Macaca fascicularis: one gene and its partner. The protein of the gene in region 2 binds, or shares a complex with, the protein of the main gene of each other region. Links are inferred from orthologs where the notes say so. Each region holds a gene or a part of one and is shown on either strand. Other genes may lie near its edges. The genes, in order: PELI1 and MDC1.

Region 1 (4,347 bases), on a different chromosome or scaffold from region 2:
TTCTATCAAAAAAGAAAAAAATTAGAAATTCCCTGACATCCATTCAAGAAACACTGTGCTTTCTCTTTATTACCTGTAAATTCATTAAACAACAAAAAGTATTTAGGACCTACTAAACATAGTATGTTAGGCAGTTATTTTCAACCTTTGAAGGAAAAATAGAAGTGATCTATTCAAGACAATTTGGAAAAAAAAAAAAAAAAAAGCTAGTGGCAGAACTTGAAATCATATCCAGATATTTCAATGACCAATATTTCTTGTCTTGAGGTTCCCACACATTAGTCTAGGGGAATATTCTATGGCACAGGTCACACTTAAACTAAGAAAATATAATAAGCACTCCCCTCCCCCACTACCACAAGTGTAAAAAAAACTCCAAGAACCCAAATCCCTTGAAAGAATGACTTCTATTTACTTTGCTTGTGTAATATATTCAGAGGGAATCTGGAAAAGATGGCTAGAAATCTATAAACAGAAAGTGCTAAGTGGAATTCACTGTTTATAGACTTCAACTAGAATTTTGTCCCTTATATATGAATGCTGCCAGGAAACTTTATATTGTATTATTTAAAAACATCTTCATCAGGTTTTCTTCACTTTGTTGATTTTCTTCCTTTTTCCACTGGCTTTTAAATCTGCTTTACTCTCCTCAAAGACATAAATGTAACTTTTAGAATAACAGGACTTTTTTCCCCCAAAAGGAGCACCTAAAGCCACCTCAGTGCCATCATATATTAGTCATTATGAAATTTTAATATATACAGTTAAATATATTTGTATAATAAAATCATCCATAAAAGCCTTTCTAATCTAATAAATACTAGGATAGGTCTACATTGGTGTATTATGGTAAAATGTACACGTATATGTTAGTTTTCAATTCTAAGTCTTTGGCTTAAAATCTTTATCAGCTGTAGAAGCTTCTGCCTAAAAATATTAGTTGTCCACGAAGCATAATGACTATCTATAGTCGTTATCACCTGACCTACTAGAAAACCATAACGAATCATATTCTGAAATGATAGAACTCTTAAAATACAAAAGTGACATTCTGACAACCCAGAAGAGTCTGAAGCTAAATCAAACGGAAACATCCTTTGGCTTCCTCTTTGAAACTTGCCTCAATGGCATTTGGCAGTACTAGACTAGCTTCCTACCCCGTACTTTTCAGTCATTTCCTTTAAGGGGTCTCAAAGAAATTATAAAACCTGCAAAGCCAGACTTCGCCAGTCAACACTAACTTCTGCCTGCGGACTCCAGTGACTGAGCCAAGACAGTGTTAGTAGCTTCCTTAAAGTACAAATGTCCCCGGTAAATCTGGCTTGAAAATACCACAGAAAAAGTTCAACATAACCAACTGCAAGAACATTTAAATGTCAATCTTAAGGAAAGGATGGATTCTCTCCCCCTACAAACTCCACTGAGGCAAATTTCCAGCTTGCTTTTTAGAAGTAAATAAATACCACTACTACTACATTACAGCACTTCTACCATGCCAATAAAAAGCTAGGTGATAGTTTCCTCTTTAAAACCTGTAAATTCACTAGATGAGACATTATAACCACTTCACTACATGCAACTTTCCATACATATAATTGTTCTACTTTCCAATTATTTATGTTAAACTCAAGATCTCTTTTAACATACTATAGAAAGGGAACAGGTTAGAAGGCTCTGGAAAAATAAAATAAAATAACGAACATCTCACTTTCATTTTCTGATGCAACCACCAAAATCTAAAATGTAAGGACAACCACACAATACAAAATTAAATGTAAGAGAATTTAGAGTAAGTGAAACTATTCACTGTTACTACAGTTCTGATCATTATTTACCTGAGGAAAGAGCTAGTAGAAGTGATGCTTGATTTAAATTTTTGGTACTTTCCAGTTTGGTACCAAAGAAATAAAAACTCACAAAATAAATAAGGTCCTCAGAGTTAAAGATTTTTATCCAGAACAGGTTGTTGATATAAATAAAGGAATTCATATGCTGTATTTGTACAGTAAGAACAATGTTTTGAGACATGTAAATCTGATCACTCAGAAAATATTTTCTGTTGGCTATAAAGAAGATGCATCGTAAACTGAAACAGAACTGAACAAAGTGAACCTTTTCCACAACTAAAAAATTTTAAATTCACCCTATTAAGCAAACTGAATAAAAAATTCATTTCTCCTTAAGTGTGAGAGTAATACATATTCAACACAGTAAAGGACAATGCGATTTCTGAAACAAAAGATTATGTGCAAAGAAAACAAAGTAACATTTTGCAGAGTAAGAAAAAGTAGAGCCTGTGAACCGAAACAGATGACCTTTTCTTATCTATAAAGTATAAAGCTTCAGTTTTTAGCACAACCAGCATCTTACGAATAAAGTTCTCAATAATATTTGTTGATATACTGTTTGATGACTAAACGACAGGAATATTGTTGGTGCTGTTAAAACCAAGGCACATTTCCTTCTGTGTAGTGATTAAAATCTGTTAAATGGACATTTTTAAAAAACCTATGCCCTCTGTCCCATTCTTGCTCTCTTGCCTCTAAGAGACCTACACGTACAAAAATAAAAGTAGATGGTGACGTGACTTTATGATTTACATTAATTTCCCTACTCGAAGCATTTCTCAGTAACTCTTTAAAGGTTTTAAGATTCAAACACTATGTAAGAAGAATTATGGTTTGAACTACGTAACAATTACCTAGACATCTTTCGGACTTCAGCTAACCTGTAAGTAAAATGAGCATCTTTAACTTTTCCACGGGGCATTTGAGAACGGGTTCTTCCTCATAAACTCTTTCATATCCTCAGATACCAGGCGCGGTAAAAGATCAAGCGTATCCATCAGAGAGCTTTTCACGACCTCAGTTTACCCACTTAGGGAAACGGGCGTATTGTTTCCTAGGGGACCCAGGGGTGAAATTAATTAGCGTGTTTAAAATGCTCTGAGATCCGAAGATGAAAGGAAATGTGAAAGACGCGCGGAGATGATGACAACAATCATAACAATAAAAAGAATGACTAACTTGGAAGTCTGCGTTATGTAAGGGAGGAAAAGAAGTTATCAGATCCGCACAAACAAAAGGGAAACCCACCGCCCCTTTTGTTTCTCCCATTTCCCTCTCCTACCCGCCACCCGCAGAGCACCCCCCTCGCAGCCTGAGCGCGCGGCCAGCCAGGCGCGGGGCTCGGAGTTGGCCGCCGCGCGCCCGGCTCCCGGGCGGAGGGGGAGGCCGCACAGGGCCGGTTCCTGACAAAGGCGCTTCCTCCTGCCAGGGCGCGGGATGGAGGCGCCGCAAACTCCGCTCCCCGCCGCCGCGGGGGCGCGCAGCGGGCGGGGAGAGCTGGCTGGCTGGCCGCCGGAGAAGCCGCCGAGGAAGTTGCGCGCCCGCCCTCCCCGCGCCCCTCGGCGGCCTCGCCGCCATCCATCCAGCGGCGCCCCGCGGCCACACTTACCGGACAATTGCTGGTGGCCGGGATCCCAGCGCGGCCCCTGAGACCCGAGGCGAGAGGGTGAAGTGTTGTGCGCGGGGAGCACGAGCAGACAGCCCGCCGTTCCGCCGCTGCCCTCCGCGCCAGCCAGCCGAGCCCAGCGCGGGGAAGTTGACCACGAAGTCGAGCGCTGAGGAGCCGCGGAAGCAGGGAGAGGCGTTGGGGCTGCTTCGTGGTGCACTCCCGGAGGGCTGGGGACCAATTCGACCGCGCCGCGGGGCTGGCGCTGCTGCTGCTACTGCTGCTGCTGGTGGAGGCGGCGGCGGCGCCCCCCGACGGTCCCTCCACCTCACACCGCCTCTGGTTCACTGACATACACTCCCAGGGAGGGGAGGGGTCTAACCGGAGGGCGGGGCCTGAGGGAGGGGACGAGGCAGGGCCACAGCGGAAGGCGGTGTCGTCGCGCCGAGAACGCTCTTGGGAATTGTAGTTCTCTGGCTGAAGAAAAAAGGGATTCATTGTTGTCCAGCACTCGACCAGGCTCGCTCTGCACTGAGCATGCTCGAGGGCGAGGTTTGGGCCGCCCCCTCCCACCGTTACCATGGTCACCGACACACTTAGCGAACGTGTTCAGTGCAGATGTTGGCTGAACAAGGGCGGTCTTGTATTCTGGTGTTGTTGGGGATCCACCCCTTAGCCGGTCCTTCCTACTTCGCTCCACCCCGAACTCCTAGCCTCACCAGTCATAAGTGTCCAGTGAGATCTGACTTCCTCCCGATATTTCAGTCTTCCCTGCTGCCTAATTTATCTTCCACAAACCCTAAATCACGAATACCACTGTCCCTCATTTCCCTCAATTGAATCTTCTCTGTCTAAATTCAATTTTCTTTACCTAAGGCTTGTCGAAATGTAGTT
Region 2 (3,314 bases):
GGAAAAAAGGGATAGATGGACCAAAAGTAGCATAATCTAAATTAAGCTGCTGAATCTCGGTGATTGTTATATGGGTGTATCAGCAGATCTGTCCCCTCATTCCTATCCCTTTCTATACCATAGGCCTTTCCCCACCCTCTCACTACTCTATATTCTTTTCTGTACCTCCATTTTTTTCCCCTCCAACCTTTGCCATTCCAGCCACCTCTTTAACTGCTACTGCCACCTCATCCAGACCCAGAACATCCTAAGCATACCTTATAGGACCGAGGCATGCTGGGTAGGTATGTGCCTCCACAGCAGCTAATGATCTCTCCCATCTGAGGTGGTGGTGGCTGGACTCCAGGGGTCACATAGATCTCATAGCCCTAAGAGAAAAAATGGTGGAGACGGTATTGTAGGTTGGGAAGCACTGGAGGGAGGGCTGAAGCACAGGTCAAGAGATAGCCTCTCACCTCCAGCAGCCTTCGCTCCCGAGCCCGACTCAGTGCGTCTTGAAGGCTAAAGCCAAAGTTCTTCTCTTGCTCAGGGTCGGTCACCACATATTCATCCGGGGGTAAGAAGCAACCAGCCTTGCGGGACTAAGGACAGCAGCAGTCAGCATCAAAGCTCAGCCCAGCCCCTCACCCAGCTCTGCTGCCTAGCATTTAGAGAGAGCTCACAAAATGTCTTTTAAATCATTCAGGCTTCTGGCTCACTAATGCCCCTGTCTTCCTGTAACGCCTCTTCCCTTCCACAACTTTCTAGGGTACTACGTGAGCAGTCTTGCCACTATATTGGTCTGTCATCATCCCTTGGCCTCTCACCTGATGCAGCCAGTCCAGGGAGAGAATGGGGATTCCCCGCCCCAGGGCACACAGGAACTTGACTGTCCGGCGGATGCGATCAGTGACCAGGTGGGAAGCCTCTGCCGCTGAACCAGCCAGACTTCCCCCCAGTGCCAGCACGGCCCGCTCTCCCTGAGCATCCACCACTCCTGTGAAGAGCACCTGTGGAAGGGTTGACCTGAGGTGGTCACAGCAACCCACACCATCAGCACCCATCTCTACAATCCTCCAGGTCTCCTTGCATCCTCCCCTCATCTCTGTCTCCCACAAAGTCTCATGCCCTTGTCTCTTACTTTGGGGGCTGTTGACTCTTGGTTAAGTTTGGTCCGTCGGAGGCTGCGGTTCGGTATTCTGTTGGGCTCCTCCTCTGCCTGGTCTCTCTTTCTCTTGCCTGGTTTTGGAGTCATGACATCCTGAGATTGAGAAAAATCTTGGTGGGAGTTTCAGAGCCCCAAAGCCATTTTTCCCAGCTTTGTGGTCCTAGCCCTCTCCTCACCTCTTCCTTCCCTGGCTTCTCTGCAGTATCTTCTTCCTCTTCCTTGATAATCACTGTCTTCTGGGAGACTTCCCCTCTTTGGGGCTGTTTTTGATGTGGTGGTGAATCCATGATAGCTAAAGACCTCTTGCGGCTTTGAGAGGCCTTAGGCTGGAGCTCTGGGGTGAACCTAGATCTACCTGCTGGTTCCACTTTTTGGATCTGGGAGGCATGAGTTGGTATATCAAGAAGCTGGGGAGAGGCAGGCTCAGGAATGGCTGTAAGGGATTCATCTGCTCTCACTGCTCCCCATCTTTGGTTCCTTGAGGGCCGGGATTTAGGTTCCAGGGGTGCAGAGCAAGGCTTATGGTCAATGGGAGCTGTGAGGGAGCCAAGATTCCCAGTGGCTCTCTGCCTCTTGATGCAACTGGCTTGAGGAATAGGCTCAGGGGAAATGGGCTGGTCTGTGGTGACAGGAGATTGGAATTCAGGGGTAGTAGGAATTAGCATAGCACTTACTGTGGAAGACCTCAGTGTTTTGCTCTGACTACCCTGAGGTATGGCCTCAGGGGTGACAGGCTGGTCTGTGGGGGTAAAAGGCTCAAGATCAGAGGCTGCTGGTTCAACTGGTTCAGGAGTCTTGACAGAGGACCTATTTGTCCTTCCCCTAGTGGCCCTAGATGTGGGCTTGGGGGTGACAGGCTGGTCTGTGGAGGTGGTAGGATGGAGCTCAGGGGCTGTGGGGACAGCTGGTTCAGGGGTCTTGACAGAGGACCTATTTTTCCTGCCCCTAGTGGCCCGAGATGTGGGCTCAGGGGTGACAAGCTGGCTTCTGGAGGTGGAAGGGTGAAACTCAGGGGCTATAGGGACAATTAATTCAGGGGTCTTGACAGATGACCTATTTGTCCTGCCCCTAGTGGCCCGAGATGTGGGCTTGGGGGTGACAGGCTGGTCTGTGGAGGTGGTAGGACGGGGCTCAGGCGCTGTGGGCACAACTGTTTCAGGGGTCTTGACAGAAGACCTATTTTTTCTTCCCCTAGTGGTCCGAGATGTGGGCTCAGAGGTGACAGGCTGGTCTGTGGAGGTGGAAGCCTGGAGCTCAGGGACTGTGGGCACAACTATTTTAGGAGTCTTGACAGAGGTTCTATCTGTTCTTCCCCTAGTAGCCTGAGATGTAGGCTCGGGGGTAATAGGCTGGTGTGTGGAGGTGGAAGGCTGGAGCTCAGGTGCTGTGGAGACAACTGGTTCAGGGGTCTTGACGGAGGACCTATTTGTCCTGCCCCTGGTGGCCTGAGATGTGTGCTTGGCAGTGACTGGCTGGTGTGTGGAGGTGGAAGGCTGGAGCTCAGGGGCTGTGCGGAGAACTGTTTCAGGGCTCTTGACAGAGGACCTATTTGTCCTACCCCTGGTGGCCTGAGATGTGGGCTCAGGAGTGATAGGCTGGTCTGTGGAGGTGGAAGACTGGAGCTTAGGGGCTGTGGCCACAACTGTTTCAGGGGTCTTGACAGAGGACCTATTTTTTCTTCCCCTAGTAGGCTGATATGTGGGCTCAGTGATGACAGGCTGCTCTGTGGAGGTGGAAGGTGGGAGCTCAGGGGCTATAGGGACAGTTGATTCAGGGGTCTTGACAGAGGACATATTTGTCCTGCTCCTAGTGGTCCGAGATGTGGGCTTGGGGGTGACAGGTTGATCTGTGGAGTTGGAAGGGTGGAGCTCAAGGGCTGTGGGCACAACTGCTTCAGGGGTCTTGACAGAGGATCTATTTTTTCTTCCCCTAGTAGCCTGAGATGTGGGCTCAGAGGCGACAGGCTGGTCTGTGGAGGTGGAAGGCTGGAGCTCAGGGACTGTGGGGACAACTGGTTCAGGGGTCTTGACAGAGGACCTATTTGTCCTGCTCCTAATGGCCTCAGATGTGGGCTTGGGGGTGACAGGTTGATCTGTGGAGTTGGAAGGGTGGAGCTCAAGGGCTGTGGGCACAACTGCTTCAGGGGTCTTGACAGAGGACCTATTTG

The links.
Region 1: the proteins of MDC1 (region 2) and PELI1 are in contact, whole or in part, in a crystal structure (PDB 9IF9), measured with the Homo sapiens proteins. The link is inferred for Macaca fascicularis from reciprocal best matches to the Homo sapiens genes MDC1 and PELI1. Residues at the interface, in NP_055456.2 of Homo sapiens: Glu761, Asp762, Ser763, Glu764, Thr765, Gln766, Pro767, Phe768, Asp769; in NP_065702.2 of Homo sapiens: Arg104, Ser105, Thr106, Glu107, Thr115, Asp116, Val130, Gln131, Ser132, Thr133, Ile134, Ser135, Arg136, Phe137, Thr185, Asn186, Thr221, Arg222, Ser223, Ala224, Cys247.

What each region holds. Positions count from the first base shown.
Region 1 is NC_088387.1:57,777,856-57,782,202, reverse strand, and holds the start of PELI1 (E3 ubiquitin-protein ligase pellino homolog 1), read right to left. Parts: upstream 2,823-4,347; 5' UTR 2,729-2,822; intron 1-2,728. UniProt on the Homo sapiens protein: E3 ubiquitin ligase catalyzing the covalent attachment of ubiquitin moieties onto substrate proteins. Involved in the TLR and IL-1 signaling pathways via interaction with the complex containing IRAK kinases and TRAF6.
Region 2 is NC_088378.1:141,951,325-141,954,638, reverse strand, and holds part of MDC1 (mediator of DNA damage checkpoint protein 1), read right to left. Parts: coding exon 1,324-3,314; intron 1,241-1,323; coding exon 1,121-1,240; intron 1,006-1,120; exon of another isoform or gene 990-1,005; coding exon 807-989; intron 582-806; coding exon 456-581; intron 369-455; coding exon 258-368; intron 1-257. UniProt on the Homo sapiens protein: Histone reader protein required for checkpoint-mediated cell cycle arrest in response to DNA damage within both the S phase and G2/M phases of the cell cycle.